4 linked regions of the Notamacropus eugenii genome follow. The protein of the gene in region 1 interacts with the protein of each later gene in a pairwise test. Links are inferred from orthologs where the notes say so. Each region holds a gene or a part of one and is shown on either strand. Other genes may lie near its edges. The genes, in order: KHDRBS2, PRR3, CIRBP and NCOA5.

Region 1 (7,638 bases):
TTTGATCAGGTAAGATTCATACCAGGAATGCAGGACTAGTTCAAAATCAGGAAAACTATTAGCATTTTTGATCATATCATCAACAAACCTAAGAGAAATCACATGATTATCTCAATAGATATAGAAAAAGCTTTTGACAAAATACAACACCCATTCCTATTAAAAAACACTGGAGAACACAGGAATAGAGGGAACTTTCCATAAAATAATAAACAGTATCTACCTAAAACCTTCAGCAAGCATTATATGCAATGGGGATAAGCTAGATGCATTTCCAAGAAGATCAGGGGTGAAACAAGGATGTCCATTATCACCACTATTATTTAATATGGTACTAGAAATGTTAGCTGTAGCAATTAGACAAGATAAAGAAATTGAAAGAATAAAAATAGGCAAAGAAGAAACTAAGTTATCACTCTTTGCAGATGATATGATGATATACTTAGAGAATCCCAGGGATTCAAATAAAAAACTACTTGAAATAATAAACAACTTTGGCAAAGTTGCAGGTTACAAAATAAACCCGCACAAATCTTCTGCATTCCTATATATTAGCAACAAAGTACAGCAGCAAGAGATAGAAAGAGAAATCCCATTCAAAGCTAGGGTAGATACTATAAAATACTTGGGAGTTTACCTACCAAAACAAACCCAGAAACTATATGAACACAATTACAAACCACTTTTTGCAGAAATAAAGTCAGATTTAAGTAAGTGGAAAAACATCAGTTGCTCATGGGTAGGTCGAGCTAATATAATAAAATGACAATTCTACTTAAATTAATTTACTAATTTAGTGCCATACCAATTAAACTATCAGAAAATTATTTTCTAGAGCTGGAAAAAATAATATCAAAAATAATATCAAAATTCATCTGGAAAAACAAAAAGTCCAGAATATCAAAGGGACTAATGAAAAGAAATGCTAGAGAATGTAGCCTAGCACTACCAGATCTCAAATTTTGCTTTAAAGCAGCTATTATCAAAACCACATGGTACTGGCTAAGAAACAGAAGGGTAGACAAGTTCTTGCCTTCAAGGAGCTCACGATCTAATGTAAGGATGAGAACAGATATGTATAATCAAGGCTTATAAAAATGAATTAAAAATAAGCATAGATGGAAAACACTGGGATTAAGGGAGAGTAGAAAAAAATCTTCTTGAAGAAGGTATGGTTGATTTGAAGCTTGAAGCAAAACAAGACACCCAGGAAGTACAGAGCAGAAGGAAGAGGATTCCAGGCATGAGATACAACTAGTGATAATTCATAGATTTGGGAATTAAAGTTTGAGGACAACCAAAGAAGCCTGCATAAGTTCAGCAAAGAATGCTTTGAAGGGAGTAATGTGTAAAAATCCTGGAAATATAGTAGAGGGATAAATAATATAGGAGGGATTTAAAAGTCTAAGAGAGGAATTTTTGTTCAATCCTAGAGGAAACACAAAGCCCCAGGAATTTATTCAATGGGGAAAAATAGAAGTAACATGATTAAACCTGTGCTTTAAGAAAATCATTTAGTGGCAAATGTGTTGGAGTTGGGAGAAACTTGAGGCAAAAATATCAAGAAGCAGATTGTGGCAATACAATCCAGGCATGAGGTTATGAGGGCCTTCATCAGGGTCATTTATCACGAAACTACAATATTAGTTATTTTTTATAGTCTGATAATATTGCAATGTACTCATATACCATGATTTGTTTCATTACTATTATTTTATATGGGGAGTTATAATTTTATGTTTATTGACATATTCTGTGTAATTTTCAATGTTTGATATAGGATATAATGTTTTCAAACCTTTAAAAAATTTTTTGATATTCTTTAAGAAAACATTACTGGACATTTTTATGGTGATCAGTACTTCCTAAATAAAATCAGTAGATTAAGTTGGTGACATCTAAGACATTTTCATGATAAAAAATATATGTTCCTATGCTGATATTTCAGTATGACATGGGTGTGACTTAGGGTTTCATGTTTCATTTTAATGGAATCTAACACAAATTGTGTTTGTCATTGAAGGATCAGCCTAATTAAATGCATCGATGTTCATTAGCAGATGGTTAGTCACAAAGTGATGCTTTTGGCCACAGCAATTCATGAAGAATGTCTATGAAGGAGCATAAGGGTTGCAATCTGCATTATTCTAGGGAATACTCACACTGCTGAAATCAAGATTCTTGAAGTGTTATATTATGTCAACACATCCACAGCTAAACTGTTGTATCTTCTAAATGTACACTTAATCATGGAAGAGAATGTTGTGAATATATAATGTAATTGTAAGACAGAATAATATAGTAAAATATCTGCATCATTTTAATTCATGAAATTCGGTTTCTGTGTACCTCTCTGATGGGTGCATACCATTGGTCTCTTGTAGACTATATAACAAAATGTGAAAGCAATCATTATCCAATAAGAATGGCTATTTATTCCAATTTATAATTCCCCATCCCATACTTTTAATAAATGTTAGCTCTGTTTCTCACCTAACTCTTCTCAGCTACTGCAGTAACTGCCAACAACTGTCTATCAAGTAAGAATTGCTCTATTTGTAATTTGCTGCAGGGTCAGGACCATGGACAGAAAACAGTGCAAAGGAACTTTCTAGGGACTAAAATCTATTCAAGCTGCTGAGCATGATTAGTCTCTCAAGGCAGTACTTCTGTCTGAACTCATTCCTAAATTACAATAACATATAGAAGCTAAAAGTTGCAAAGAGGTGACCAAAGATTCAAGAAGAATTGGATTTAGAAATGGATGAGGAGAGGAAGTGTGGTATAGAGATCTGGGAGTCAGTGGATTTGGTTTTGTGGAAGAGCACTAGAGGAAGGAGTTATAGGACCTGGACTTGAGTCTGTCACTTTCTAAATGTTTGGTTTTATGTCTGTCACTGAAGCTCTCTGAGACTCAATTTACAAATTCAAATCTTTAAATTGAGGCGGTTGATCCATAAGCCTTCTAGTTATAAATGCACAGTCCCAGTTTTACCCAGTTAAGTGACTAATGAATACTATCTACATCATTTTCCTCTCCTATAAAAAGGCAGAAGTCATATCTACTCTATCTACTTCATAAGTCTGTGATGATGAGAAGAACATGAATTTGAAGGTGTTCCAGCAGTTTTAATGTTATAAAATAAATATACTATAATTATTATGAAGAGAGAATATATATTTTGGGAGTATGGGTTTTTTCAAGTTATATAATGGTAAAGTATTATTATTTGTTATTGTACATGGAACAAAAGGGATTTGAAATCCAAAAGGAACAACATATTACAAATACTAATTTAAAAGTGAAGCAATTCAATTCTAAGCACATGTACTTTGCTGTTAAGTTAGCCTGAAAAATGAAATAATAATAACTTGCATTTATGTATCCCTTTAAATAATTATCTCAATTGATCCTCACAGATAATCTGAGAAGAATTTTCCATTACGTCTCCATTTTACAGATGAGGAAGTGGGTCCAGGAAGATTATGCGAATTAAAGGGAAACATTTCTGGGAGGGAAATCACCCCAATAACACACTCTGGATCATTAAATAATGATTTAAAGGTATAGAATAATTTTTTGCATGAAGATTCCATATTGCTTAGGCTCTTGTGTAAATGGAACTCGTGCTTTGTGTACCACTATTCCAGCAGTACAGATGACACCTGAGATCTGAAACCTCTTAGCTCTGGAATATAGTGCGATAGTCACTGGAACAGCGTTGGTCTATGGTCAAATGCTATGTTCTCTTAGAAGAAGGGAAAGGCAAGCATAAGAACTACCTGGTTCAGTGTCCCTTTCCTGATTTTCTTTTTGAATTTCTTCCTGAACTGTTTAGCTAAGTACTTGAATTTAGCTTCTAGATTAAGTGAAGTCGGGCAGGAAAGAAAAAAAAAAGAAACCAAAACTCTGCTCTATTTACTATACTCTAGAGGATTGTCACATATTAATACCCTTAAATCATTGGAGGTGATTTATCTTTTTTTTTCTTCAGTGAAGTTCCTGCGTTATCTAAATAATGCCTTTCTCAAGCCAATGTCCTTATGTCTTTAGTCTTTGAGATTATGTGTGTGTGTTTGGGGGGTAGAGACACTCCTGTATTTTAATTATTTCACGGTTCAGAAAGGCATTTACTATAGAAGACACTTGTGCTCTTAGAGACGCTGATGAAGTAGAATCAGCCCTTGAGAGACTTACTCTAGCCGTAGTGCATACTCCATCCCGACCTTTTCCACTTTTCATCACTAAACCTCTTTTTTTCCCCCTGTCCGGATTTTGGTCCCTATATCCTATCTAGGTAGGGCCAGAATCTTTTCTGCCAACACCGGACGATACCCAGAACTCTCCTAATACAAATGCTCAAGCTCAGTAGGCAGGGCAGGTCGTGGTCGTATGAAGGCTGCTTTTGCTCTGCACTGCTGGACTCCCTCCGCCGCCAGCTCCTGCTCTGGTCTGCCCGTCAGGCGGTCAGACTAAGCTATCAGCCCAATCGCGACACCAGAACCTTCTTTGGGTTCTCCGCCTCCCCGGGCGCGGTGGCCAATGAGCAGTCCGAAGAGGTGGGGTGGGGGGACCCCTTCCTCCCGCCTCTCTAGTTAAGGCCGCTGCAATTAGACTGAGCTCAGAAAGAGAGCGAGGGGAGAGCTAGAGGGGTCTGTGTCTGCGCGGGGCAGCGGCGGCGGCGGCGGTGGCGGCGGCGGTGGCGGCGGCGGGAGAAGGTAGTGCACAGCCAGCCCCACAGCTGCATGGGTCAGTGAGAGCTCCGCGCCAAAGGCTAGGAGGCGGCTGCGGTGGCAGTAGCGGCGGCAGCTGCCGTGGAGGAGGCGGCGGCGGAGAGGGAGGACGAGGAGGAGGAGGAAAGGGAGAAGGAGGAGGGGAGAGGCATCAGGCGCCACTGCCATTTGAGCAGCGCCTTTTTAGCTTTTGCGCGCTGACCGCCGCGCCGGAGTGCCCGCTATGGAACAGGAGAAATATCTGCCTGAGCTGATGGCAGAGAAAGATAGCTTGGATCCATCCTTCGTGCATGCAACGCGCCTCCTGGCAGAAGGTAGGTAAGACTGGTCTGGCGCGTGATGGGTAGATATCGACTGACTGGCCGGCTCGTGCCTGGCTAGTGTGTTAGGGAAGTGAAGTTGGGGAAGCAGACCTGTCTCCTCCTAGCCGCCCAAGCTCTGGCTTACCTAGCATCCTAGGAAGATAAGAGTCAGGGCTTGGGAGTCTGCAGATGTTTCCCCGCCCTCTTCTTCTTCCTCTGCGTTTGCATTTTAAATTGAGAATCAGCCCATGAGAGAAAAGCTACCGAGATTGTGACCTGTCAGGAGAATGGGTAAGGAGGATTCTGATAAGGGTTCAAGGATTGTCAGAAAAAGAAGCTGAAAGTGGAAAGGCGGTCTGCACAACAAGACACTTGGGGAATGAGGGAGATAGATGGATGATCAGTTGGGAAGTCATTTATGTTCCCAGTAGGATTCCACGCCTGATCCTTAACGAACCTTGTCGCTACCGACTAGCGCTTCCGCAGCATTTTGGAAGGGATCTGATGCCATTTAAGCCAATCAGACAGTCTTTACCATAGCCTATCTAAGTCATGTTACTAAGTAAGTCAGATGAGACCACCCGTATGTATGTATTTACATGTGGGGAAGCATAAGATGGGATGGCTGGTAAATCTATTTCAAGGGTGATGATTAGGCGCTGGGCAAGATGTACCCAGACACGCTTTCGCCAATTGAACAGCTGTTTTACAAAGTATGTGTTTTCTTTTGTGAACCTCTAACGTAAAAGACATTACATTCCTAGGGATGCACGAGGACTCTTCCTTAAGGAAGGCTCTTGTATATTGTTAGGATTAAAGAAATGGATAAATGCAGGTTCAAATAATGCTCTTCAACTACAACTTTAAAATAAAAACAGCAATTAAGACTAGCAGAGATCAATACATTTTTTTTTAAAGAAACTACAGTGGGGAGGAGTGCTCATCAATTATTAATTTCCTCATTATCAAATTAGCCAGAATGCAGTTATGTAGCTTGGGTTGCTGTGGGCTAGTGTATGCTAAAATAAGTCAAAAGTTGGGTATTTTAATGAAACATGAAAATATGCTTATATTGTTTGTATGGATAGTTCATATAGAAAAAATATGCATGCTACTATTTCATACACAATTAAGACTGGTTTTCAATGCACTTATTTACTTTATAAACACATAGATGAAAGTTTTATTAATACTTGTGCTTTCAAAAGTAAAAAATGCAACTATTTCCCTTCTTTATTCTTTAGTTATATAAGAAAATAGCTACAGACAGTTTTGCAACAGTATTCGTGATTTAAGTAATTATCTGAAGAACTTAATCTGTGAGAATTTGGGAGAGGGAAGACTGCATTCATAATTTCCACAGTGCTGGGTACTGAATGCAAGATTGAACAAATGAAAGTTGAAAAGTCAGTTATTTTTGTCCACTTTTCCTCTCCTTAAAAAAAAAATCAGGAACAAATAAGAAAAACATATTTAAGAGTATGAGAAAGTACAATTAAAGAAATTTAAATTTTTTTCAAGACAGCAAATAAAGTCATGAAAAAACTCATAATCATACCCCTGAAAAGGAGTACACTTTGAAATATAGAATTGGCTTATCTGTCCCTGTTTTGTCCATTTGTTGTTATTGTTGTCTTTAGTTTATAAATTCAGTTTTAATCTGGTATACTAATTAACAGTTCTCTTTGGAACAATGGATTTTATGATTAATAAATAGTTTAAAAAATCAATTGAGTTTGACAGTTTGTAAGAGAAACACTAAAGATAGCTGATAGCTCTACTGTGCCTGGTAAGACAATCAAAATACTTGGTGTACTTTATTAGGAATCTTCTATTGAGGACACAGACTATTTCAGCATGTAATTTAATATTTTTCCAGCAGGGGGAGGCATCCACTGCTTTTCTAAAAGAGGAGGGGGGGGGGGAAGCATTGGGGAAAATTACCTACAGAAAGAAACAAAAGAGTGAGGCTCGATTTGAATTCATATTGTAGAGGAAATGGGTAGAATATGATTTCTTTTGGGTTTCTCAACTTTCTGTCGATGTATATGACATACATTTACATTTACATATACATATATGTAAAATGAATGAATAACTTTGTGGTATACTCTGAGTTTACCTAGGGACGAATGTAAATGGATATTACAAAGGACTAAAGTGAGCTATCTTTGGCATCTGTAGGGAATGTTAATGTAGACTTCACACTATATACCTCATATAATCCTATATACAACACCATCTACCAAATATTTTGAAGATGGTTTCAATCCTCTTCAGAAGAGTTTTAATTCAGGATTGTGACAAAGTTACTAGTAAAAGTGGTGCACATAAAATAATTCTATCTTCTCATTGAAAAAAAGCACTGACAAAAATTTTCAGTGAGCAGGAAAGCAAGCTTCAGTGTTTATTTCATTGTCTTGCTGGCAGACATAACAGTGAGAGCAATAAAAATGATACAGAAGATTTTTTTTCTCACAATGCTTTCCCTGGATCCAGGTCCCTGTGGGGGGGACAGGGGAAGATGATTGCTTAAAGTTTGTAATAGAAACTAACTAGCATTCTCAGGTAGTTGTTTCATATAGTTTATGATTGTGTAATG
Region 2 (7,236 bases), about 43 Mb from region 1:
GAGACCAAATAACTTATAAAGTAGTTGTAGATATGCATTGTTAGAGGGAGGCCCTTCACAAGGCGTTTCCTATAGTAATGAAGTCACAGATCCAGTCTCCTTCAAAAGAAAAAGGAACCAAGAAGATTTTGCTGGAGGAAAAAAAAACTCCCAAGGGCCCCACCTGCTCACATATACCTTGGACAGTGGAAGATATTCTAGTCAGTTTTGCTAGTACCCTTGATTCTCCTAAAAACGTCATAACTGACAGGCTGACTTCTGGTAAGAGGCAAAGGAAGAACCCCAGACCCTCCCCAACCCTCTTCAGGCCTTTCCTCAAATATACACTCAGACCTTTTCCTGCAGTAATGGTCTCACAAGCTCTTAGCAACTGCTCTGGTCCCAGGGCATGAGTCCAGCCCCTTGTTTGTTTCCGGCGCTTCTTCAAGACTGAAAATAGAAGGGGAGAGGTGAAGGGACAGTGAGGGCCAGATCCTGTCTCTTCCTCCTGCTCCACCCATCATCCTTGACCTCTGTTTGCTACCTCCATTCCATAAAGCCCCTGTAACTGTGTCCCTCAGAGGGCTTCATATGTTCTCCCATATATCCCTATGTTTTCCAAATTTCACTCACCAGTCTTTGGATCCTGTGGGGTTTGGGGGTCCCGAGGGAAAGATGTGAAAAGAACAAGGTGGAGCCGGGGGTAGTGCAGGCGAAAGTGATACTTCCAGGCTATGGCAAGAGCTGGGGGAGCCAGGTCTACTTTGTTCAGCACTAGTATCAGTGACAGCCCTAGTTCCCCTGTCACATACTCATAAAGGGCTGGAGGAAAGTTGATGACCTGCGGGGGATGGGGGAAAGAGGGTATGAAGAAGTAGGAATGAGAATAAGTTACCTAGGAACCTTCAATTCCTCTCTCTCTGATCTACTAGGAATGATTTTACAGGTATCAACTTCTGTAGTTGTAAGATAGTATAAAACCAAATAAGTAAAAGATATGCAAAGAACAAAAGAAATCCCAAAAGAACACTTGAGAGAAAGAAATACATGGTATTCTGGGGGAGGAAAGGCTAGTTTGTCAGCAACAGAGAATAAGAGAGAGACATCTGAGGATAGGAAAAGTGAAACAGGAAGACCAGGTAAACTGGATAAACAGCAGAGGCAGGATGGAGGATAGAAAAGTTCTTATTTCTTACCAAAAGAGAAACCTATAAATAAGCCCTTACTCTTAAACTGGAAAGAAGTTACAACTGGAGAAGTGCTGCTGTTTAATTCACAGCAGTCTGAAAAGTCAGAGCAGGGGAGAAAGTGTTGGGAAGGAAGGAAGGGATGTGAACAGAGGGTCCCCAAGAGTTACTTAGCTGGTTCCTAGAGAAGCACTTGAATTTGTTCCACCCTTCAAAGCTACAAAAGGTAGTTGGACTGGCTGAGAAAGTAGCTGTTAAATAGAAAAAGACTAGAGTCCTGTCTTATGGAATTCAGGTTTAAAAAGTGAGGAAAAAATCTTTTCCTAACCCCTCCCCCCAACTCTTGCCTTTTAATTTTCACCAACCCATTGCCCCATTTGCTTGGTTTCTCTCACTTACTGGATGGCGTATGTCTGTGATGAGGAGGACAATATCAGACATCTCTAGCACCCTCCACAACTGTCGCCAGGTCTAAAAGAAAATAGGTGAGGAAAATCTGACCCTTATGCTGCTAGATCAGTGGTAATTTGCAACCATGCACCAGCAACTCCACAAAGGTCCATGTGTCACTCCCCCTTCTTCAGGGACAGTCCAACTCTTCAGGTGGATGATATAATACCCTGCTCTTATCTCACCTCCAGATTGTGTTCAAAGTAGCTGAGCTGCTCAGAGGTATAGGACCCATGGATCTTCCCCAGATACTCTTGGAAGCTCCGTTCCTCCTGGCTCATCAATTGCTCCCTGGACATCTCATAGTTCCAAGGGGGCCGACGGGGAAAATCTAGGTCTGAGAAAGTAAAGAAGAAGGGAAGCATGGGTGCTCTCAGCACCACTTTTGGCCAGCTGTCTCCCTTCTCCCATCTTCTACTCCCCTGCATCTCAATCCTTACTGGAGCCTGGATGGTAGATGTCTCCAATGTCAAGCTCCAGAGACTTCTCACTGACTGGTTTCAGCACTTGTTCTCGGGCAGCCCTCTTTCTCCGTTCCACCTCTTCCCGGCTTTCTCTTTCAAAGTGTAATCGGTATCTGGGGAGATGATGACCCAAGTATTCAACTTAGTACAGAGTGTCCACAAGGCATCATTTTCCGGATTCCCCTTCAAAATTATAGGCATGTTTTCTCGGTAAGGATCCCGGTATCTTAATCTTCTGCTTGTCTCCAAAGTCCCCTTTTCTACAAATAAAATCTTTCTTCTCCACCCTCTCCCAATAAATCCGAACAAATTGCCTCAGGATAACTAAGGAATCCAAAGTCCTTCCTACAGAGTTTTTATCTCAGTTTATCTTGAGCCTTCTACTTCACTGGCCTCCACCTACGCGCTACCCTCCTTTACTGCCAAGAAAGACAATGAGGGAAAATCCCAAGTGCCGCGTTCCCCACCCTTACCTATTGGGGTCAAAGCGAAGGCCAGAGCCGTGGGTTGGCTGCTGGTTGAGACGCCGGATCTGCTGGGTCACAGATTCTCCATCAGAGGTGTCCGTCTGGTCCTCCCTCCGCTCCCGGCTCCCGCTGCGGCTGTTGGAGCTGGAGCGTAACCCATCCTGCAGCCCTGCAGGCAGGCACATGACGCCCAGCTCTCAGACACGGGCGCCCGCGTCTGACTCGTCCAGCTCTCCCCTGGTAACCCAGCTTCTGCCCCCACATCGACCCAAGTGTTCTGCCTCTGGACCCAGTTTCTCTGTCCTTCTCCACACCCAGAACAGAAGCCTCCCAGGACCAGAAGGGAGAAGCCAGTTCTTTCCCATCTCCAGCATCCATTTCGTCAGATACGGGGCCCCCTCTTCTTCCAACTAAAGGGATCCTCCTCTTCTCCAGATTCGGACAAGGGCTCTCCGTCCACTCCCTCCTCTTCCAGATGAGGGGGAGGTGGGAGGTTCTTTCTTCTTTCTCCTTTCGATGGGAAACGGCTGGCTTTGCCCGCCACCTTCCACCCTGGCCCCAGATGTAGAGTTCATCCCTGTCTCCAGATGTACAGGAGACTCAGGCCCCGCCCCCCTCCGCTCCCTCCCTCCCTTACCTCGTTTCCTCTCGCGCTTGTCCTGCAGCTGTTTCTTCTTCTGCTTCACGCTGAAAGGCTTCTTCCTCGGCATGGCCCGGCCTGGCTCCCGTGGATCTCTAGCCCTCTGCGGGCTCCAGCCGCCGTCGTTTCGCTTCTACCGACACCCCCCCCGCCCCGGGCTACCCCAGCCGCGTAGGGCCCGGGACCCTTGGGGGCGGGGCTCCGACGTGACGTCACGCGGAGGGTCAGACCAAGTCTCTCCTCCTCGGGGAGGGGGGAGTGCGTTGTGGGTAGGGGAACACAGAAAGGGCCACCGATGTAATTTGGGTGGGGAAGTTCAATCACTTCCCTCCAGTAGTACAAGAGTGTGTGTGAGGCTGAAGAAAGTGCAAGGACAGAGAGACGCGCGACGTGCCGGCCACACGCCAGTCCCTCAGGAGTCCCGGGGAGGGAGGGGGGCGGTTCTTGGGGGTGTGGAAGAGGGAGCCGCGCCGGAGCGCCGACCGACGGTACTGACTTCGTCACGGGCGATACCAATTCCCATTCGGAGAAAGGGGGCGAGGGAACCATCCTTACCTTTCGTTCCTGGAGAGACTCTACCCACTCACCTGGTGGGGTGAATGGACTCTACCACTTGTGAGGTGGGGAAGAGCATAAAGCTAAACTAAAGTGACCTGGACGAGCAAGGAGGCTGAACAAAGCTGAAAGGAAAGGGGGGGAGGGGAGAGAGGAAAGAATGATGAAGTACTAGGTTGCCCTGGAGATCCCTTCAGAGAAGGTCAGAGGTCATGTTCAGAGGAGCCACGAGACACCGCACCTAGTGGAAGTTAAAAAAAACCCCAAAACTTGGGTGGGAGTAGGCCACATAATCGCGATGTTTAAAAGGTTGTAATTAAGAGGCACTGAGACTGAGATGGTCTAAGGATGCTGGGGGGGAGGTCAGAGGTCATGAAGCGGCGGCGTGGGCTGTGGGAGGTTACCGAGGTTACCACGCTGCTTGACTTCTTTCTCCCCCCTGTCCCAACGCTCTGGACCGCGGTCCTCTCCACTCTAGGCTACGCCTCCAAGTGATGTCGGTTTTTTTTTCCCTTAGGTAGGAGGGGGGAAGGGGGTGAGGAGGAAGGGAGGGTTGGAGTGTGAGCTTACATTGGAACGCTACACGGTGGGAAAGGCACGCGCCTGCGCACTCGCCGCTTCTGGATGGGTCTGCCGGAAGCGGAAATAATCGGATTCTCTCTCCCTCCATATACCGCCCCCTGCTCCCACCGGCCCGACTCTGATCGTTGCTATTACGCTGGCTGTGATGCCCAAGAGGGGGAAGCAGCGGCCACCGGACCCCGAGGAGAGTGGGGATGAGGAGAGTGGGAGCCCCGCTGGTAAGGGAGAGTTGCATGCGCCTGAGGAAGGCCTGGCACAGGGGCACGAGACAAATAAAGATCCCTCGGGCGTGGAGGGAGAAGGCGAGATTAGTGCTGCCCGAAAGGGAAAGAACCCGTTGCATCTTCCCGTAGAATAGCGCGAGGCGAGGCTTGGCGAGAGCAGAATTCCCCTTCCTTTTTTAAGGACTGCAGGGCAGGGAGAGCTAGAAGTATAAGCGCGCACATGCGCCGACCCGGGTGCTGTGGCGCGCCCGCGAACGGGAGGAAGGGAGGGGGAGGCCGATGCACGTGCCTTGGGGGAATAGGGGAGTGGTGCGTCCGGAGCATCGGCCGGGAAAAGTCCATGAGAGCGCCGGCCTAAAGATGTTGCCCAGAGCCTCTGACGTAGACGAATAAAAGCAGTTTGCCCGGGCAACTGCATCCTCTTTCTCCCTCGCCTTCCCACTCCTACCCATTGTAATTGGGAGAGAATTTGTAAAAGCCAGTTTTCCTACCCTTCCCCCATTGTCTCTTCTGGTCCTCTTTGTCAGCCCCAAGGGTGAGACAGATCCAGAATAAAATAAAGTTTGGTAGTTCAAGATGATGGGAATGAGAAGAGCTAGTAATGAATGAGCTTTGTATGAGGAGTCGGGAGTTCTAACCCGTGCTGTTGACTACCTGCAAATTTGTGCAGAAAGGTCTCATTTGCCTCATCTGTGTTGGATTGTGTAGGGAGTGGGCTAAATGATTTCCCACACTTCATATCAATGCAAATGTTTCTAGACCTCTCCCAACTGAAATGAGGACTAGGGGATGGCGAAGAGAGAAGTCCATCAAATTAGATGAGAGTTAGGAGAAGGTTGCTAGGAATTCCCAGGAAGGCCAGAGATTTATAAGGAAGGGTTCGTTTTGGGACTTGGGTAGATCTGCTTACTTTGGAGGGTGAGTCGTCTTCTTCAGCTCTGGTGGCCCCACACCCCATTAATCGAGGGCCTAGGAGGAAGAATTTTGTCACAGGTTTGCCACCTGTCATTTTGTCTGTCTCTCTCCCCTTCACATCTTGTTTGGGGTACTTGTCCAGTAACTCAGTCAGTGTCATCAGGGCTGCTTTGGGCTTGACAGTCTTACTGACTGTCTAAATCAAAAACTTCCTTCCCTAGCTACTACTCCCCATGTGTTTGGTATCCATAGTTCCTGTGGCATGAAAAGCATTTCTTAAATTTTGGCTAATGGATGATAACAAAAGGAGACTCATACTAAGGAAAACATGTTGAGGTCTCTTTGCTTTATTGTCAGCCTTCCTTTGATTGAAGGCTGTGCCATTTGGTACCTTTGGTTTTTCTCGTTTCTTTTTCGACATCTTGATAACAGATTTTGCTTTTTTGGATTCTACTAAAGCATGATACATTTTGCTTCAGGCCATCATTTTGATTCTGTATGTATCCACAGAAAGTAAACATCTGAAGGGCGGAGACTTTTTCATCTAGTCTTTATACTATGGATAATTCCTTTCACATAGATAGTAGTAGGCCCTTAAGTGCTTGCTAGTAGTAGAGGGAAAATAAGATTTGAACTGTTTGTATAACCATGTGCTATTGAGTTGTAGGTGTAGTAGCACAAAGAAAGGAGAACTCAGTAAAAATAGTACTGAGTTGTTGTGTAAACTGGACTTTACTAAGTTAGACCTTGCTACGTTTTGCTTAACCTATTTCTTCCTGTTCTCTTAGGTCCACCCAGCCTCCTGGGCCCTCCACCCATAGCCAATGGGAAGTTTGGTGGCCCTGATCCAGGTGAGTGGAAAGGGTCTAAAAGGACAGGTGTCTAGATTGATTTGGATTAACACATTAAGTGCATATTACATGCAAGGCACTTCAGCATTTCCTGTAGGAAAGAGGTTTGGGGGATTGGGAGAAGTGGGGAATGAGACTCAAGAAGAAAAATAATTTCTGGGTTTTCCTGGATTCAATTGATTATCTTTCATTGTCTTTCTTTAGGCTTCCACAGAGGCCCTCAGAGTTTAAGGGGACCAGTGATTCCCCCACTCCTGAGCCTTCCACTTCCTTTCTGGGGAGGATGCCCAATGAGAGGGGGCCCAGGACCCAGGCCTAGACCATACCCACATAGCCGTTGGGCCTATGAGGATCCAGAACCTAGGTGGGGAACAGGCTATGGGGACCATGCCAGGAATGGTCCTCCCAATGGATGGAGAAACCTTGGAGGGGGCAATAGTCACCATCCATCTAAGAACATCCCCTGGCCCAAGAACGCCCCTCAATTCAAGGATGGAGTCCAGGAAGGTGATAGAACAGGTTAGTGCCATCACCCTGTATATTTTATTCCTGTTAGTAGCACATAATTACATCCAGAAGTACAAATCCCAGAAGCCCTTCTGTCTTTACCTTGAAGGTACCTCTCAATTTTCCTCTCTCAAAACATTATCCTAGGATGCTGAAGACTATAGCAGTTATTAAACTGTTTCCCTTCAGGATCCCAGAGGTGTCCTAGTTTTTGTCTTCCCAAAGTCTTACACTGCCTTTTTCTCACTTCCACAGATAAATCCAACCGCCCTGTCTGCAGACATTTCTCAAAGGGCCACTGTCGCTATGAGGATCTTTGTGCCTTCTACCACCCAGGAGTGAATGGACCTCCATTGTAAAACTGTGCCTTCCACCAGTCAGGCTCCAGTGGACCTTTTCTATCCTGGAAGCCCAT
Region 3 (7,403 bases), on another chromosome or scaffold:
AACCAGAAACAGCAAAAACAGAAGGAAAACTCTGGACTAATTTCCCTAATGAATATTGATGCAAAAATTTTAAATAAAACACTAGCAAAGTTATTACAGCAATATATTACAAAGATCATATAATATGACCAGGTGAGATTTATATCAGGAATGCAGAGCTGGTCTGATATTAGGAAAACTATCAGGATAATTGATCCTATCAATAACAAAAATAATAAAAATTATATGATTATTTCAATAAATGCTGAAAAAGTTTTTGACAAAATACATTACTCATTCCTGTTGAAAAAACCCAACATTGGAAAGCATAGGAATAGATGGACCTTTCCTTAAAATGACAAGTAGTGTATCTAAAACCATCAGTAAGTGTTTTCTGTAACAGGGATAATTTAGAAGGAAGAACAGGAGTGAAGCGAGGATGCTTAATAACACCATCATTATTTAGTATTGTATTAGAAATGCTAGCTATAACAATAAAAAGAAAAATAAATGAAAGGAATTGGAATAGGCAAAGAGGAAACAAAATGATCACTCTTTGCAGATGATATGATGTTATACTTAGAGAATCCTAGAGAATCAACTAAAAAACTAGTCAAAATAATTAACGACTTCCACAAAGTTGCAGAAAGCAAAATAAACCCACAGAAATCAACATTTCTATATATTACCAATGAAGTCCAGCAGGAAGACACAGAAAGAGAGATTCCATTTAAAATAACTATAGGCAATATAAAATACTTGGGAGTCTACCTTCCAGGACAAACCCAGGAACTAGATGAACATAATTACAAAGCACTTTTCACTTACATAATAAAATATACAATTTTATATATAATCATTTATATAATAGAATATAATAAAATAAGGTCAGATTTAAAAAACTGGAGAAATGTTCATGGCTCATGAGTAGGCTGAACCAATATAATAAAAATTATAATCTACCTAAATTAATTTGCTTATTTGTTGCCACATCAAACTAACAAAATTATTTTATGGAGCTAGAAAAAATAATAAAATTCATCTGGAAAAACAAAAAATCATGAATATCAAGAAAATCAATTTTTTAAAATGTGAAGGAAGGTCATATCTTAGCGTAGTAATCATCAAAACAACCTGGTACTGGCTAAGAAATAAGAGTGGTAGATCCGTGAAATAGATTAGATATACAATGTATAGTAATGAATGACCGTTGTAATCTACCGTTTGATAATCACAAAGATCCAAGCTTTTGGGACAAGAACTCACTATCTGACAAAAAGTGCTGGGAAAACTGGAAAGGTAGTTTGGCAGAAACTAGGTATAAACCAACATCTCACACTGTTTACCAAGAAAAGGTCAACATGGGTACATGATTTAGACATAAAGGATGATGATATAAGCAAATTAGGGGGCCATGGAATAGTTTTCCTATCATCTTTGGATAAGGAAAGAATTTATGACAAAACCAGAGATAGAGAATATTGCAGGAAGTAAAATGAATACTTTTGATTATTTTAAATTAAAAAGGTTTTTCACAAACAAATCCAATACAGCCAAGATTAGAAGGAAAGCAAATTTTTTATAACAAGTTTCTATGATAAAGGCCTCATTTCTCAACTATACAGAACTGAGTCAAACCATAAGAATATGAGTCACTCCCCAACTGACAAAGAGTCAAAAGACATGAGTGAACAGGTAGTCTTCAGAAGAAGAAATCAAAGCTATCTACAGTCATATAGAAATGCTCTAAATCACTATTGATTAGAGAAATGCAAATTAAACCAGCTCTGAAGTACCATCTCACGCCTCTCAGATTGGTTAATATGACAGAAAAGGAAAACGACAAATGTTGGAGGGGATATGGAAAAATTGGAACATCAATTCACTGTTGGTAGAGTTGTAAACTGATCCAACCATTCTGGACAGCAATTTGAAACTACACCTAATGTGTGCATATCTTTGACTCAGCAATGCTACTACTAGGTGTGTATCCCAAAGAGATTTGAAAAAATGAAAGAAAAAAAGAAAAAGGTAAAAGAACCTCTATGTACAAAAATATTTATAGTAGTTCTTTTTGTCATGGCAAAGAATTGGAAATTGAGGGGATGCCCGTCAACTGGAGAACTGTTGAACAAGTTGTGGTATATGATTGAGATGGAATACTATTGTGCTATAAGAAATGACAAACAGAATGGTTTCAGGAAAACCTAGAAAGACGTATATGAACTGATCCAAGAGAACCAAGCTACGGTACGAGAACATTGTACACAGCAATGGCAATCTTGTACAATGGTCACCTGTGAATGACTTAGCTATTGTCAGAAACGGAAGGATCCAAAACAATTTTGAAGGATTTATGATGAAAAATGCTATATACTTCCACTGAAAGAACTGAGTCTCAATGCAGGTCAAAACATACTTTTTTTAAAACTTTATTTTTCTTGTGTTTGTTTGTTTGTTTTTTTGGTCTGTGTTTTCTTTCGCAACATGGAAAAGGAAATATGGAAATATGTTTTGCATATCTGTACATGTATAATGTGTATCAAATCACCTGCTTTCTCAAGCTGGGGGGTAGAAATGGCAGGGACAGAAAGAATTTGGAACTTAAAATTTTAAAAAACAAATGTTAAGAATTATATTTACATGTAATTGGAAATGAAATACAAAAAATTTAAATTAAAATAAATTATCCCAAAAGAGAAAATTTTGTTTGAAATCATGAACATCCAAAAAAAGTGTTTTTAAATTAAATAAATGTAGTAACAAAGGTATCCTGTCTAATCTCCTGAAATTGTTTTTGCTTTTTCTGCTTATGTTTAAATGTTTTGTCTCCCCCTGCCCCTCTCTTGCATTTCTATAACTACCCACTAATCCCCTCCTCTCTTGTACAAGTGGTTGGTGATAACCACTCTGAGTATGGGACTGGCCCCCACTAGACAAATCTTCTTGAGTTTCTCCAGGTCCTCCATATAAATCACTGTTTTTATGGTTTAATAATATTTCATTACTTTCTTAAATCACAATTTGTACAGCTATTCTACAATTGAAGGGTAGTCTTATTTCCAATTTTTTTTTGTTATTATAAATATTTTTATGTAAACATTTTTGGTCCTTTTTTCTGACTTTGCCCTTTTTTGGGGTACAGGCCTAGTAGCAGCAGTAGTATCATTGGTCAAAAAGTATGTGTAGCTCAGGGACTTTGGGGGTATTGTTCCAAATTGCTTTTCAGAATGACTGGACCCACTCATAACTTCACCTACAGTGCATTAGTGTGCCTGTCCTATGGTAGTCCCTCCATCAGTTGCCATCTTCTATTTTTCTTTGCCAGTCTGATAGGTGTGAGGTGGGACTTCAGTGTTATCATAATTTATATTTCACTTACTAATGATTGGGAACATTCTTTTACCTAGTCATTTGAAAACTGACAAAACAAAAAATTGACTACTGGGAAACGGTTCCTATTCTTCTATTGTATCAATTCTCTCTATTTTTTAGGTGTTGGACTTTTGTTAGAAATATTTGCTATAAAGATCCCCCCTTCCCCCGGGTTAACAGCTACTCCAGAGGTTCCCAAACGTATTTGGCCTACTACTTTTCAAAAAAAATTACTCAGCACCCTCCTGAAAATTTACTTTCTTTAACCTTTTAACTTTTTTTTTGAAATTGGCATCACTTCCCAAAACACATAAATTTAATAACGTATTGTAAACTTGTGGGGTTCTTTCCTGCATTGAAATTTTGATGATGCAACATTGTATCATGTAACCTTATAGTATCATATTGTACACAAGTCATGTTCCTGTGGATGCATGCTGGACTTCCCAGCGGTGCAAAGCATGCTCCCCCGCCAACACTTGCTTCCTAAGGTCTTAGTGGACTTGACTGATAGGTTCTAACTTGCATTTTGTGTTTATTTGGAAAGTAACGTAATCACTAAGACCTGAACTCTGTTACACGACAGATAAAACTTGGACGAATGGTGTTTCAAAAGTTTCTTCTCCTCTTTCCTTATGTTCCCACCGCCCCCTTCTTTTTATTCCAGCCCCCCACTGCACCCCCCAACCTTTGGACTCTGGAGCCCAGGGTGCAAGTGACAGAGCTCTGCCCTGACCATTATTACCTGGACATCCAAGTCAACAAGGATTTATTAAGCTCCTACTATGTGCCAGGGCACAGCGCAAGGGGCAGTCCTGACCTCAAGAGCGAGAGACCATTTGGGGACTAGGTACAAACGAGGTATAGGTGGGTTAGGTCGGAGGAGGCCCGGGCGGGCTTCTGGCAGAAGGTGGCATTCTGAAGGCAGCCAGAAGCCGTGCCAGGGCCGGGTGGAGCGGGGCATCCCCGGGCGGAGGCCGGGCTCGGGCACAGCGTTCCCTGACTCGGGGGCACGTGCGTGTTGCCAACGTACAAACGTGGAATGGCTACAGTTGAGACGGAGCCTTAACGCTTTCGTGCACAAACGTGATCTCCGTTTATTCCCAGCTGCTGTCGCCACGCCCCCTGTGCCCAGGACTTGCTCAGGGTCACTCGGGCCGGATTAGCCCTGGGGGAGGGGCGGTCCCCGCGCGGATGCCCCCGCCTGTGCTGCAGAGGGAACCCCAGGGCTGCGGGTCATCCGCAGGTGCTGATCGCTTCCACCTGGCAGGGAGGGGATCACGGGCCAGACGAATAGGTAATGGAGAAGCGCTGTAGATAAAGTGGCGTCTTTAGTCGTTCCCGGGGGGCCCGAGAGTCACGGGGTGTGCGGGGGGGGCTCCCACCCGCGGTACGGAGCGCGGGGGATGCAGGGGTGGAAAGGGGGCTGGAGGCAGGAGGGGGTGCAGCCAATGAGAGCGTTCGGTGAGTGAGTGGATGTGGGGATGGAGAAGAGGGAAGGGTCCTGGATGACCCCTGGCGCGGGGACCGGGGTCACCGGTAACTGACGGGCATAGGGGTGGCTGTGCGGGCCGATGGGGGAGGAGGGGAGCACGGGGAGGGGGGTGATTGTGGGGCCGCGGCCCAGGAGGCGGATTGGCTGGGTTGGGGGAGGGGATCCCCTGGGGCCACGGAGCGTTGCCAGACTCGGGGCAGCCCCCGGGGGGAGTGGGAGTAATTAGCAGGTTGGGGGAGGCGTAACCCCGGAGCACTCGAGCGTGGGCGGGCTTTCCGGGAGGGGGTGGAGGGGTGGGGATATGGAGGAGCAGTGATTTCCCGTGGTGAGGGCTGGGGGCCGCGGAGGGCGGAGCTCGGACGTCTCTGGGCGGGGCGTCTGAGATGATTTTCCCGAGAGGGCGGGGCCCCGCGAGGGGGCGGGGCCCAGGCCTCCAAGATGGCAGGGGAGGCCTCCGTTTTCCCAGCAGCTCCTTTGTTCGGCCGCCGCAGTGCCGGAGGGAGAGCGCGCCAAACTGGGTCAGCCCCGCCTCTAGCTCCCAGAAAGGGGCGTGATTTTAGCCCCGCCTCCAATTCCTTTCCTGCCCCCCCCCCCCACCGCTCTTCGGCAGCCTGGGGTTAGAGGCCTCTTCAGCCGGAGGGGAGGGGGACTGCGGACGAGCGGCAGGCTAAGTCCCCACCAATCCCTTTACACATCCTCGGAGGAGCGGGGCGGGGCGGGAAGGGGGAGAGGGAGCTCGCCGAAGCTCATGAATATAAATCAGCGTCCGGCTTTGGTCCCCTTCGATTGGCCCTCTGGGCTCTGGGGGTGGGGCTAGAGGGCGTGGCTTCGTGGCGGCGTATATAAGGCTGAGCTCTTGGGCGCGCCGCTCATTTTCCCGTTAGGAGGCTCAGGTGGCTCTGGTCTGTCCGCTGATATCGCTTATCCTTCCCGCCCCATCCAACACACCGGTGAGGGAGCCCGCCCCCGGCCACTTGGTCGAGCCTGCGGAGCTGGCAGGGCCTGGGGTGGTCGGGGTCTGGGGGGGAGGGGAATCAAGGCAAGAGGGAGGAGAAGACGGGCGGCCCAGCGCCTGGGCGGAGAAGGGCCTAGGCACCGGCACGCCCCCCTGGGATACGGCTGTGGGCAGGACGGGTCGGCCCGCCAGGTCAGGGTGGGTTCGGTGGCGGCGGCCGACAGCCGAAGTAAGGGGCTGCTGCCGTTGCGGTGTCCCCAGGGGCCGCCGGGGCAGGCGAGTTCTCTGAGGCTTTGCCGCAAAATGGCGGCCGAGAATCTTGGCGGGCCGCTTAGTGAAATGGCGGGGACTGCCGGAGATGCCCGGATGGAATGGCGCAGGGAGGCGAGGCGGGGGCTCCTCACGCATGCGCAGAAGGAGGCGGCCGCTAGTGGGGGCTGGAGGAGGGAGGCGTTGGGCGCACTGCACCGCGAACGAGAGAGAGGGGCCCTGATTTAAGGGGAAGCCGGGCTGGGGGGCATCTAAGAATTAGTTCCTGCTTAGGACAGGGGCAGGCGCTCCGGGAGACTTGCGGGCCACGTGGTCGGCGGCCATCTTGATCTGGGCCGCGGGCTAGGCCCCGGAGTGGCCCGTTCCCAGACCCGGCCCGGCCCCAGCGGTGGGCGCCTGGGCCCCGGCGTGCCAAGGCCGCCGCTCCAAGCCATCCCGGGCCTGCCGGCTGCCCCGCCCACCCGGCCCCTAAGCAGCGACCCCGAGGTCAGTTGGTCAATTCCGGACCTGACGCCTCCTACAAAGTGGTCCTGGGGCTTCCTGTAAAAGATGTAAAAAGAAGGCTCTGTCCCGCGCACAGCACCTAACCCCAGGCTTAATGTTTTTTACTAGAGAACAGGCCCACAGAAGGAAGGGACTTGCCCCCAAGGTAGCGAGTGTCAGCCTTGGGGTTGGAATGGTGTGGGGAGAGTCTGAATTTGGGGTCCTGGCTCTTCGGTGATTTTAGGGGAGGCACTTCGGGAACCAGATTACGCATGTCAGAGGCCTCTTTGGGCTGTAAAACCTTTCCATGGGCTCCTGATTTTTAATTTCTTTGTTTTTTTCCCACCATACCATGTTAATCTCTCATGGGATCCTAGCTACCATCTTAGGAACAAGAAGGTACAACCAGGGTCATTTAGTTTATTCTCATTTGTTTTTGTCTTTTTTTTAGCACGTATATGACCCTTGACAAATTGCTTAATTTTTTCTGGGCATCAGTTTTCCCATATGTAAAATGAAAGTATTGAGTTTGTTGCTTGAAAAGCTCTTTCTAACCTTATAGTGTAAGATCTATCAGTGCTCTTTCATGCTTTGGGCGGGGTGTTATAAGGGAGAGAACTCTGTCCAGGCCCTGGGAGACTTTGCCTATTTTTAAAGTCCCTGTTCTGGTCTGAGGTTTTTTTTTTTTGTTTTGCCTTATCAAAGCTAGGAAAGGGCCCTTGATGTGACATTCTAATGAATGAATCCAAAGGAATTTAGGCATAGATCCCGGATTGAGAACCCTAGTTTTAAGTGAACTAGATCTACTTGTGTGTGCTTTTTTTATAAAATGTGTCCTGATATTCC
Region 4 (7,647 bases), on another chromosome or scaffold:
TTTTGTCCCTTTTTAAAGGTAAATGGATTTCAAGATACTTCTAACTACTACAAAACTATTAAAGAACAACAAAAAATTCTGTAGTTTTTTTTTAACTCAGTGTGAACTTTCCCTGAGTACACACAAGAAACTATAAAGGAACACACTAATGTGATGTCAAGGCAACGTACGCATACTATTTTAGGAGTCTTGAGTCTATTCCTACCTGTCGCAGGGAAAAACACAAATGGAATTTATATCAGGACCAAAAGGCATCCTTTATTATTTGGATTAAAAAACCATGAGTACTAGCAACAAGAGTTATTATAGATAGTTGATAATTATAATTAATTATAAATTTCTCTTACAAAACCTACATTCTCTCTTAAAACTTTTTTTGTAAAGTGACACAATTTTCTTAACATAAGTAATTTTAAAGAATAAATTTCCTGTGTCAATTCTACTTTTAACATTTATCTTTACTCTTTCCTTGATAAGAGATAGTTTCCTTTACAGTTTTTAAAAACTTGCATTGCACTGGCCTAGGTCGGAAGGCATTAATTAAACTTTATAGAAAGCAATGCTTTAAAAGGCAGGTTAAGAGAAATATCTTTAGAGTTTAGTAGAATTTTGAGTGGGGGACAATTATTTCTTTAATGTAAATAAACATAGTTAACCTATTCAATTTCTCTACTTAGCAAAGGAGGGAAAAAATGACAATATGAAAGCATTTATTTCTGGTGGTAATAGAAGTATCTGAAAAACAGCAGGCATGCTGGCATTATGTATTCTGCTGTCATTCTGTTTTGTGCTGCCCTATTTGTTACTTTTTCAGAAAATGCTTTGATCTCTTCATAGATACTAATAATGGACCTAAAGACTTCTTTTGGGAGGGAGAGAAAAGGAGGTCATTATTGTTTTAAAAGTCAATAGTTCACTTAAATTTCATTCCAAAGATTTTAGGTACAGTTACACTTATTTCACAGGACAAACTTTTTACTCACACTTGTGTGATACTGTCACTTAAAACCAGTGAGAAGGTAAAAATTCTCTTCATGAATGAATCACGTGAATTTTATATTTTGGGATGGTTATTTCACTTTTTCACACTAAACCTCAAACACAAGTAGGCAACATTAAGTAGAAGGAAACAAATATTAAACATTCTCTCCCAAGACTTCCTTTTCTTAAAAGTAAAATTTTATTCAAATAATCTTATTTACTAGATGGGTCTCAGAAATGCACTGCCACCTGCAGGTCAATAATGTAGAGGTAATAGTGATGATTTTTTTGAAAACGGAAAACTCAACCATCCAATCTTTCTCGGTGGGAAAGGTAAATCATAATTCTCAAATCCCAGCCCAAAAATGACTCCTGCCACAAAGTTCTGAAACTGACTCTTGAATGAGATCTGAGTCTGATCTCCCCGCACATGAGGAAGGTGTTTGAGAAACTTGGACTCATACAGTTTCTCTATATCAAAACCATATCATTACCTCAAAAGAATACCGAATAAAAGAAATCCCTAGAATAACCCAAGGGTTGACTACATCCACAATTCCCCTTTAAATAACTTAAACAGTGCCAGTCAAAAATACATAGGAAAATGAACAGATTTTAGATGACCTCTGACATCCCTTTAAGTTCTAACAACAGTCTATGGCCTATGAAAAAGCTAGACATATTAAAACAGCTTCGACAAGTAGGTTTTTAAAAGCATGCAACACTGAACATCGTTTCTGGGAGGGTCGTTTCCATGAGAAGTAACAAACTCGGCTTTGGACTTCACATTTAAGAACGTGGCAAACTTCAAAGAAAATCTCAAGGACGAGAGAAAGAGAGGGAAAGGGGCGATGCCGAAGCTAGGCTTGGGGAAGGAGCCATCCTGTCGCCACGCGCGATGTTTCATCCGAGTAGAGCGAGGACTGAGCGCCGGGGGTTTCCGCGCGTCAGGCTTCACGCCACGGGCTGACCGAGGCACCAAGTGTCATCCAAGAGCTCTTCCCGTCAGCCGTCGTACGAGGGTCTGTTTGTCTTTTAAAAACCCAGCAGGCTGCTCTCGAAGGAACAGAGCAAACACCTGAAGGGCACGCTCCGGAGACGGTCCTTCGGCCACAAGAGTGGTGGCTAACGAGCCGCTTAACGACAACGCTGCACGCACGAGAAATCGTGGGGCGCTAGGCACCGGGCGCTGCGCCCCGGGGCAGACTACGGCACGCGGCACGCGGCGAGACCAAAGGCAACCGCTTCGGGCCGAGCCGGAGCCAGAGGCGGGGCGGCGGGGAAGGGGTAATCAATCCTCCAACTCCAGGGAAGCTCTGCGTCTCCGAAGCTGGGAGGCGCCCCATCGTTCTCCGGCATACAGTCCCGCCCAGGGACGAATCGGGGACGGCCAAAAGGCCAGAGGGAGGACGGCTCGCGGAGGAGCGCGCAGGCGGCGGAGGGACACCTCAGGCCTCGGCCCGGCGCAGCGCGCGCCACGCCGCCGGGGGGCGGGGGAGGGGTGGGAGACGAGCCTGGAGGGGCGCGCGAGGCGACGCGAAGGGAAGAAGAGGACAGCGCGCGGGCGCGCACGAGGCCAATGAGCACCGAGGACCGAAGACCGAAGGGGGGGGGCCGGGTTTGGAGCGAGCGGGGGAGGGGAGGCGCGCGCCGAACGGGCTCCTTTCTCCCTTCACCTCACCCTCCCCTCCCAGCCATGCCATCCGATTAGCCGGTACCGCGTAGACCCCAGCTGACAGCACCTGGTTTCCGCCCCATCCCCGTCACTCACCGCTACCAGAGCCGCGGGCCTTCCCCGGCCGTTTTTTTTCCTCAAGGGGCAGCCACCGCCACCACTGCTGCCGTCACACACGCCTAGGCCGCTGGGGCCTCCTCCTTCGTTCTCGTAGCCGTCCGTCGTAGGACAAAGGCGCCACCAACCGACCGGCGCGGGCACGAGAGAATGGCGGCCCGGGCGGAAAGTGGGGTGGGAGGCGGACGGGCAGGGGGAGGGGGACGAAGGCCCGGGGGCCGCGCACGTAACGGATGCGCGGCAGTGTCGCGAGAGAACGCCGGTTTACGGCAGGTCGAGTCGGAAGCACCGACGGCTGCCGACCCCGCCCCCTCCCTGTCTATAAATGGGGTGGGGGGGTGGCACCGGTCAGTTGGGCGGTTGAGAGTAGCAGTTGCCAGTTCTGGAACGTCCCTGGGTGACAGTTTCTTGGGGCATTAGGGAATTGAGTTAGCACGCTCCCTTAGCTTAGAGACGCCACGTCGCTTCTCACGTTTCCCAGCCGGTTCCCTCTACCGAGCACCAATGTCAGACTCTTCTTTTTTGCATTTGGTCCTGGGTTCAAACCCTAGCTTCGATTTACTACTCCCCGTGTGACCTTGTGAAATTCACTGCCCCTCGCTTGGCTCAGTTTATTCCGAAGTGAGGTTGTTGAATGTTCCCAGTCTTTACTAATACTGTTCCATGAGGAAAACCTCAAAGACTAGGATAGGATCCGAGATTGATAGCGAAGGATGGGGGGATAGAACAAAAACTAGCTTAAACCCCGAGGTCATACTGGGTGCCCCCAGAACCAAGGTCCATTAGGTTACACATCCAGTTCTTTTCTGCTGCATACAGTGTCTACACTGTTTGCTGGTCTTCAGGTGTCAGGACATCTGAGTTACAATCCTGACTTGCTAAATCCCTGTGTGATCTAGGAAAGTCACTTATCTTCTCTGAAACTCCATTTCTCTATATGTAAAATAAGTGGGGTTGGATTAGGTGCTTTCTAAAGTCCCTTGAAGCTCTAAATCTACTTTCTTCTCTCCAATCATCTGCTCCATTAGAGCTAATAGGACTTGAGAAGTCATCTAGTGTAACACTACAGGAACAGGTTCTTCTTCCTGATCCTACTCCATAACATGCTGACCCTGTCCACAAAATACAGTTTCTGAGTCAGCTCTGCTGTTTTACCACTTACTCCTTGCATAAGAAAAAGCATTAGATTTGTTATCAGATTTGAAACTAACTGCCACTAATATGTATAACCTTGAATAAATCACTTCTCCCCAGCCTCCATTTCCTCTTTTGTGTGGAGATGTTGAGGTTAGGGTGCTGTACCCCAAAATACCAACAGGCTGGGTCCTGCTGGAATCAATTCAACACAAGCCTTCTTAAAGCCGAAGAAAAACAAAGTTTATTAAAGATTCGCCATACTGGGTTGACTCTTAAAGAGCCTAAACATTTGTAATACTTGTATTCACAAGTGGGCCAGATAGAATCTCAGCTAGACAGAGTCTGAGCTGGATTGAATCTGAATGCCTTCATGGAGGTGAGATGGAACTTAAATATAGAAAAAGACTGAGGGAAGAATCCAGGTACTGCCAACTAGTCTGGGGCCCCTGGAATGGTCTTGATGGGGCAGTATAGGAATGACCAGTACCCTGGGGTGAATACAGATAGACTGTAGGGAGGATCTTGATGGAAGTGGCTGGCAATGGGATCAAAGGGAGGAATATTAAAAGAATGCTAAATAGAAGATAGGAAGTATCTGGCCTGGGAGAAATGGAAGGTGAATCCAAGGAGGCCCCCCCCCCCAACCCCCAAGGCCAGTCTTTCCAGGGCCCTTCAGATAAATGTGATAAAAGCCCTCCCGATCCAAAGGGAAAAGGTCTTGGCTTGGGCTTCTATTCCATCATTCCCCCCCTTAAACAGATTAGACCCAAATTCTTTTGTGGTAAGGGGCGAAGGTCTCAGCTTTTAAAACTGCTTCCTGCTGGCAAGGGGCGTAAAGCTGTCCCTGCCTCTCTGGGTCCTGTTCAAGGGGTCAGACTTCAGAACCTGGGCATGCCAGGTCCAGCGGGCTGGAGACCTTTGATTCAGTCGGAGGTTGGTATATAGCCTGGGCTGTCATCTGGAAGTTGATGGCTTGTACTCTGGAAAAGACAGATCTGGCAAGGAATTTAAGAAAAGAGTAAGAATAGGGGCAAGTATAGAAAGAAGCCAGGATTCTCGTGAAGAAGATGATTTGGGGGCACTAAGTTATTATAGTCTGAGTTTGGGTGCCCCAAGGATCAGAATAGTTCCACATTAACCTCCCAGTTGAGAGGGGATCTTTAAGAGATCAATAAGAGTATTGTAACAAAAGGAGCTGTGGCACTGTGCCTTAAACCTACTACGAGAGTAGGGGAAGGATGCAGTCAAAGGTGCAAGTAGGAAATGTTCCCTTGGAACAGCTGGTACAGGGGCCAATGTAAAGTTCTGGATACACGTGTAAGCAAGGTGTTGAGATGGAAAGAGTAGCACATAAAGGGGTGGCCAACATACAGGGTGGCATAGACTTCTGAGGAAGTTGTATTGGGGAGGGGAACTTTTGCAAAAGTTGACCTCCCCCCTGCCTAATGAGTTTCCCAGTTTGACCAAGGAGTTATCCTTCCACTTTCAGAGGCCAAGTGTATGTCAAATGTCAGGGAGGAGGAGAAAAAGGGTTAACATTATCATTGCCAATTCAAAAGGAAACAGTTTCACAAGAGAGAAAGAAGCAAAAAGAAAAAAATATTTTCCCTGGAGGGTATTAAAGAAGTCTATGGCAAGGCCAAAACATAGAAGGGCATGTTTGATAGGGGAGTTTTTTTTCTGTCAGATATCCCCTTTCTTTCCAGATTGCTCCATGGGCATATAGAACAAGGAAAACATAATTTGAGTACATAAAAACATCAACTGGCCTAGGGTCAGGTACTAAGGAATGGGTTAAGACTCCCAAAGCCTGTCCTCATCAACATACAAAGTGAAAGGTTTTTCTAGATTGGGTAGGGCTAGTGCTGGGGTGATGGTAATGTGGATAGAAACAGTGCCCTAAGAGTTAAAATAATACTGATTGACTTTGTGAAGCCCTTGGTGCCCTAAATTCTCCCCTTACCACAACTTCCCCTTATCCTGGACCATATAATTCCTCGTCTCTACCCCTCATCCTAGGGGGAACATATAATTCCTTGTCCCCACCCCTCATCCTGGGGAATGGGATTTCCTTATCTTGTGTCATTCATAGTCCTCACCCTGTGCCTTTATCTTGTAAGACTTACCCTAGATCTCTAACCCCCATTAGGAAACCCTAAAATCATCCTGTATAAGCCTGGTCCTTTTCCTATGTCATTGCCTTTGTTTAACACCTTGTTAAATCTCAGGCCTGCTGCTTTTGCATTAATAAAGCTCCCAGTGGCTACAGAGAAGGTCTAAGTGAATTCATTCACGTTTTGAACCAGCTCTCTCATCTCTCTGTCTCTTCAACAGTGGGCTTGTACCCCATTAGAGAAAGGTAAGGTTGGAGTAGATGAACTGTAAATTCTGTGATCCTGTAAGACATCCTGAATGCAAAGGAAATGAATTCCAACCTAAACATCATTTGTTTACATTCTTTGAGTGAGGTAGGAAGGAGAAGGTGTTTGGGAACGCCTTCTTTTGGATCTTGAAATACCTTTAGAGATTTTCTAGTCTAATTGTCTTATTTGACAGATGATGAAGCTGAGGCCCAGAGAGGTCTGCAAGTAACCCGAAGAAATGAGATTTGACTCCAAATATTCTCCACCAAAAATCACAATCCCTCTCTATGACAAAACTGGAAGAGATTAATACATACATTCGCAGAATGCCAGGGTTGGAAGGAACTGTAGAACACAGGGCACAGAATGTTAGAATTGGATGGAGAATTTAGAGGTCATTTAGTATAAGCCCATCTAGTCTTTGCTTTTGCTCAAGCGTATCACCTATAACTGTAATGTACTTCCTCATATTGGACTCTCTTAGCTCATTTCAAAGCTATTGTCTACCTCTTGAAATTACTTTGTGTTACTTGGTATATACTTTGTATTTACTTATATAGGTACATGTTATATTCCCCAGGAGGATGTAAGTTCTTTGAGAAAAGGCATCACATATTTAACTTTGTATCCCAAGTGTCCTCAATGTCCAGCAGTTGGTGGTTTTTGGTTTTTTTTGGCATGTAACAGGACTTAATTAAATTGAACTCTCTCTTTGCACAGATGATGAAATTGATGTACTTTAAGATTAATGTGAGTTGTGCATGGTCATGCAGCCTTATATATATTATTGTATTATGAGTTCCTCTGTATTGTCTGCTTTAAGTGTGATCCTTCTTATAGAAAGATTTCTGGCCTTTGTGTTTTGAATAGCACCCAGCAAATTAAAAGATGAGATGGGTTCTCTGATACTCTCTGGAAAAGCTGTGGGCCATAACAAAATCATACCGATGGGACTTGAAGGAGTGCAGTAGCCTGCCTGGGGCAGAAGAGGAAGACTTGTGGAATTTATCTTAGAAAAAGAAAGAAGGACATAAGGTTGAAGAAGACTGCTCTCTAGAGCTGGGTTTGCCTGAGGGGTCAGAATGAAAGATCTAAGATTGCTTTCTACTGATCTCCTGCTGCTCATTTTGACTTCTCCTAAAGATAGACCAGAAGGTCTGGGACTACAGAATATAAATTTTTAAAAAATCATTTGGGACACATCTAACACCATGGATGATTAAAAATCGAAGAGGTCAAATGCTAGAGATAAGTGCTTGCAGAAGGCTGTTTGATCTTGAGCCCTGGATAAATGTAGTCTGAAGGATTCCTATGATAACTGGAAATGTTCTATACTGACCAAAAGTGCCCCCCAAAAGTCTAGTGAGTTCACAT

Evidence for each region.
Region 2: the proteins of KHDRBS2 (region 1) and PRR3 interact in binary tests that used the Homo sapiens proteins (3 or more experiments, as listed by UniProt). The two-hybrid records come from large-scale screens. The link is inferred for Notamacropus eugenii from reciprocal best matches to the Homo sapiens genes KHDRBS2 and PRR3.
Region 3: the proteins of KHDRBS2 (region 1) and CIRBP interact in binary tests that used the Homo sapiens proteins (3 or more experiments, as listed by UniProt). The two-hybrid records come from large-scale screens. The link is inferred for Notamacropus eugenii from reciprocal best matches to the Homo sapiens genes KHDRBS2 and CIRBP.
Region 4: the proteins of KHDRBS2 (region 1) and NCOA5 interact in a two-hybrid assay, tested with the Homo sapiens proteins (2 studies listed by BioGRID). The two-hybrid records come from large-scale screens. The link is inferred for Notamacropus eugenii from reciprocal best matches to the Homo sapiens genes KHDRBS2 and NCOA5.

What each region holds. Positions count from the first base shown.
Region 1 is NC_092873.1:127,770,858-127,778,495, reverse strand, and holds the start of KHDRBS2 (KH domain-containing, RNA-binding, signal transduction-associated protein 2), read left to right. Parts: upstream 1-4,624; 5' UTR 4,625-4,957; coding exon 4,958-5,048; intron 5,049-7,638. UniProt on the Homo sapiens protein: RNA-binding protein that plays a role in the regulation of alternative splicing and influences mRNA splice site selection and exon inclusion. Binds both poly(A) and poly(U) homopolymers. Phosphorylation by PTK6 inhibits its RNA-binding ability.
Region 2 is NC_092873.1:84,447,403-84,454,638, forward strand, and holds the start of PRR3 (proline-rich protein 3), read left to right. Parts: upstream 1-4,235; 5' UTR 4,236-4,469; coding exon 4,470-4,542; intron 4,543-6,251; coding exon 6,252-6,314; intron 6,315-6,518; coding exon 6,519-6,833; intron 6,834-7,076; coding exon 7,077-7,180; 3' UTR 7,181-7,236. Other genes in the region: GNL1 (guanine nucleotide-binding protein-like 1), read right to left, coding at 334-429, 613-820, 1,566-1,637, 1,802-1,953, 2,057-2,193, 2,554-2,716, 3,185-3,257.
Region 3 is NC_092875.1:62,241,904-62,249,306, forward strand, and holds the start of CIRBP (cold-inducible RNA-binding protein), read left to right. Parts: upstream 1-4,385; 5' UTR 4,386-4,651; intron 4,652-5,573; exon of another isoform or gene 5,574-5,799; intron 5,800-7,403. UniProt on the Homo sapiens protein: Cold-inducible mRNA binding protein that plays a protective role in the genotoxic stress response by stabilizing transcripts of genes involved in cell survival. Acts as a translational activator.
Region 4 is NC_092872.1:475,659,532-475,667,178, forward strand, and holds the start of NCOA5 (nuclear receptor coactivator 5), read right to left. Parts: upstream 3,012-7,647; 5' UTR 2,753-3,011; intron 1-2,752. UniProt on the Homo sapiens protein: Nuclear receptor coregulator that can have both coactivator and corepressor functions.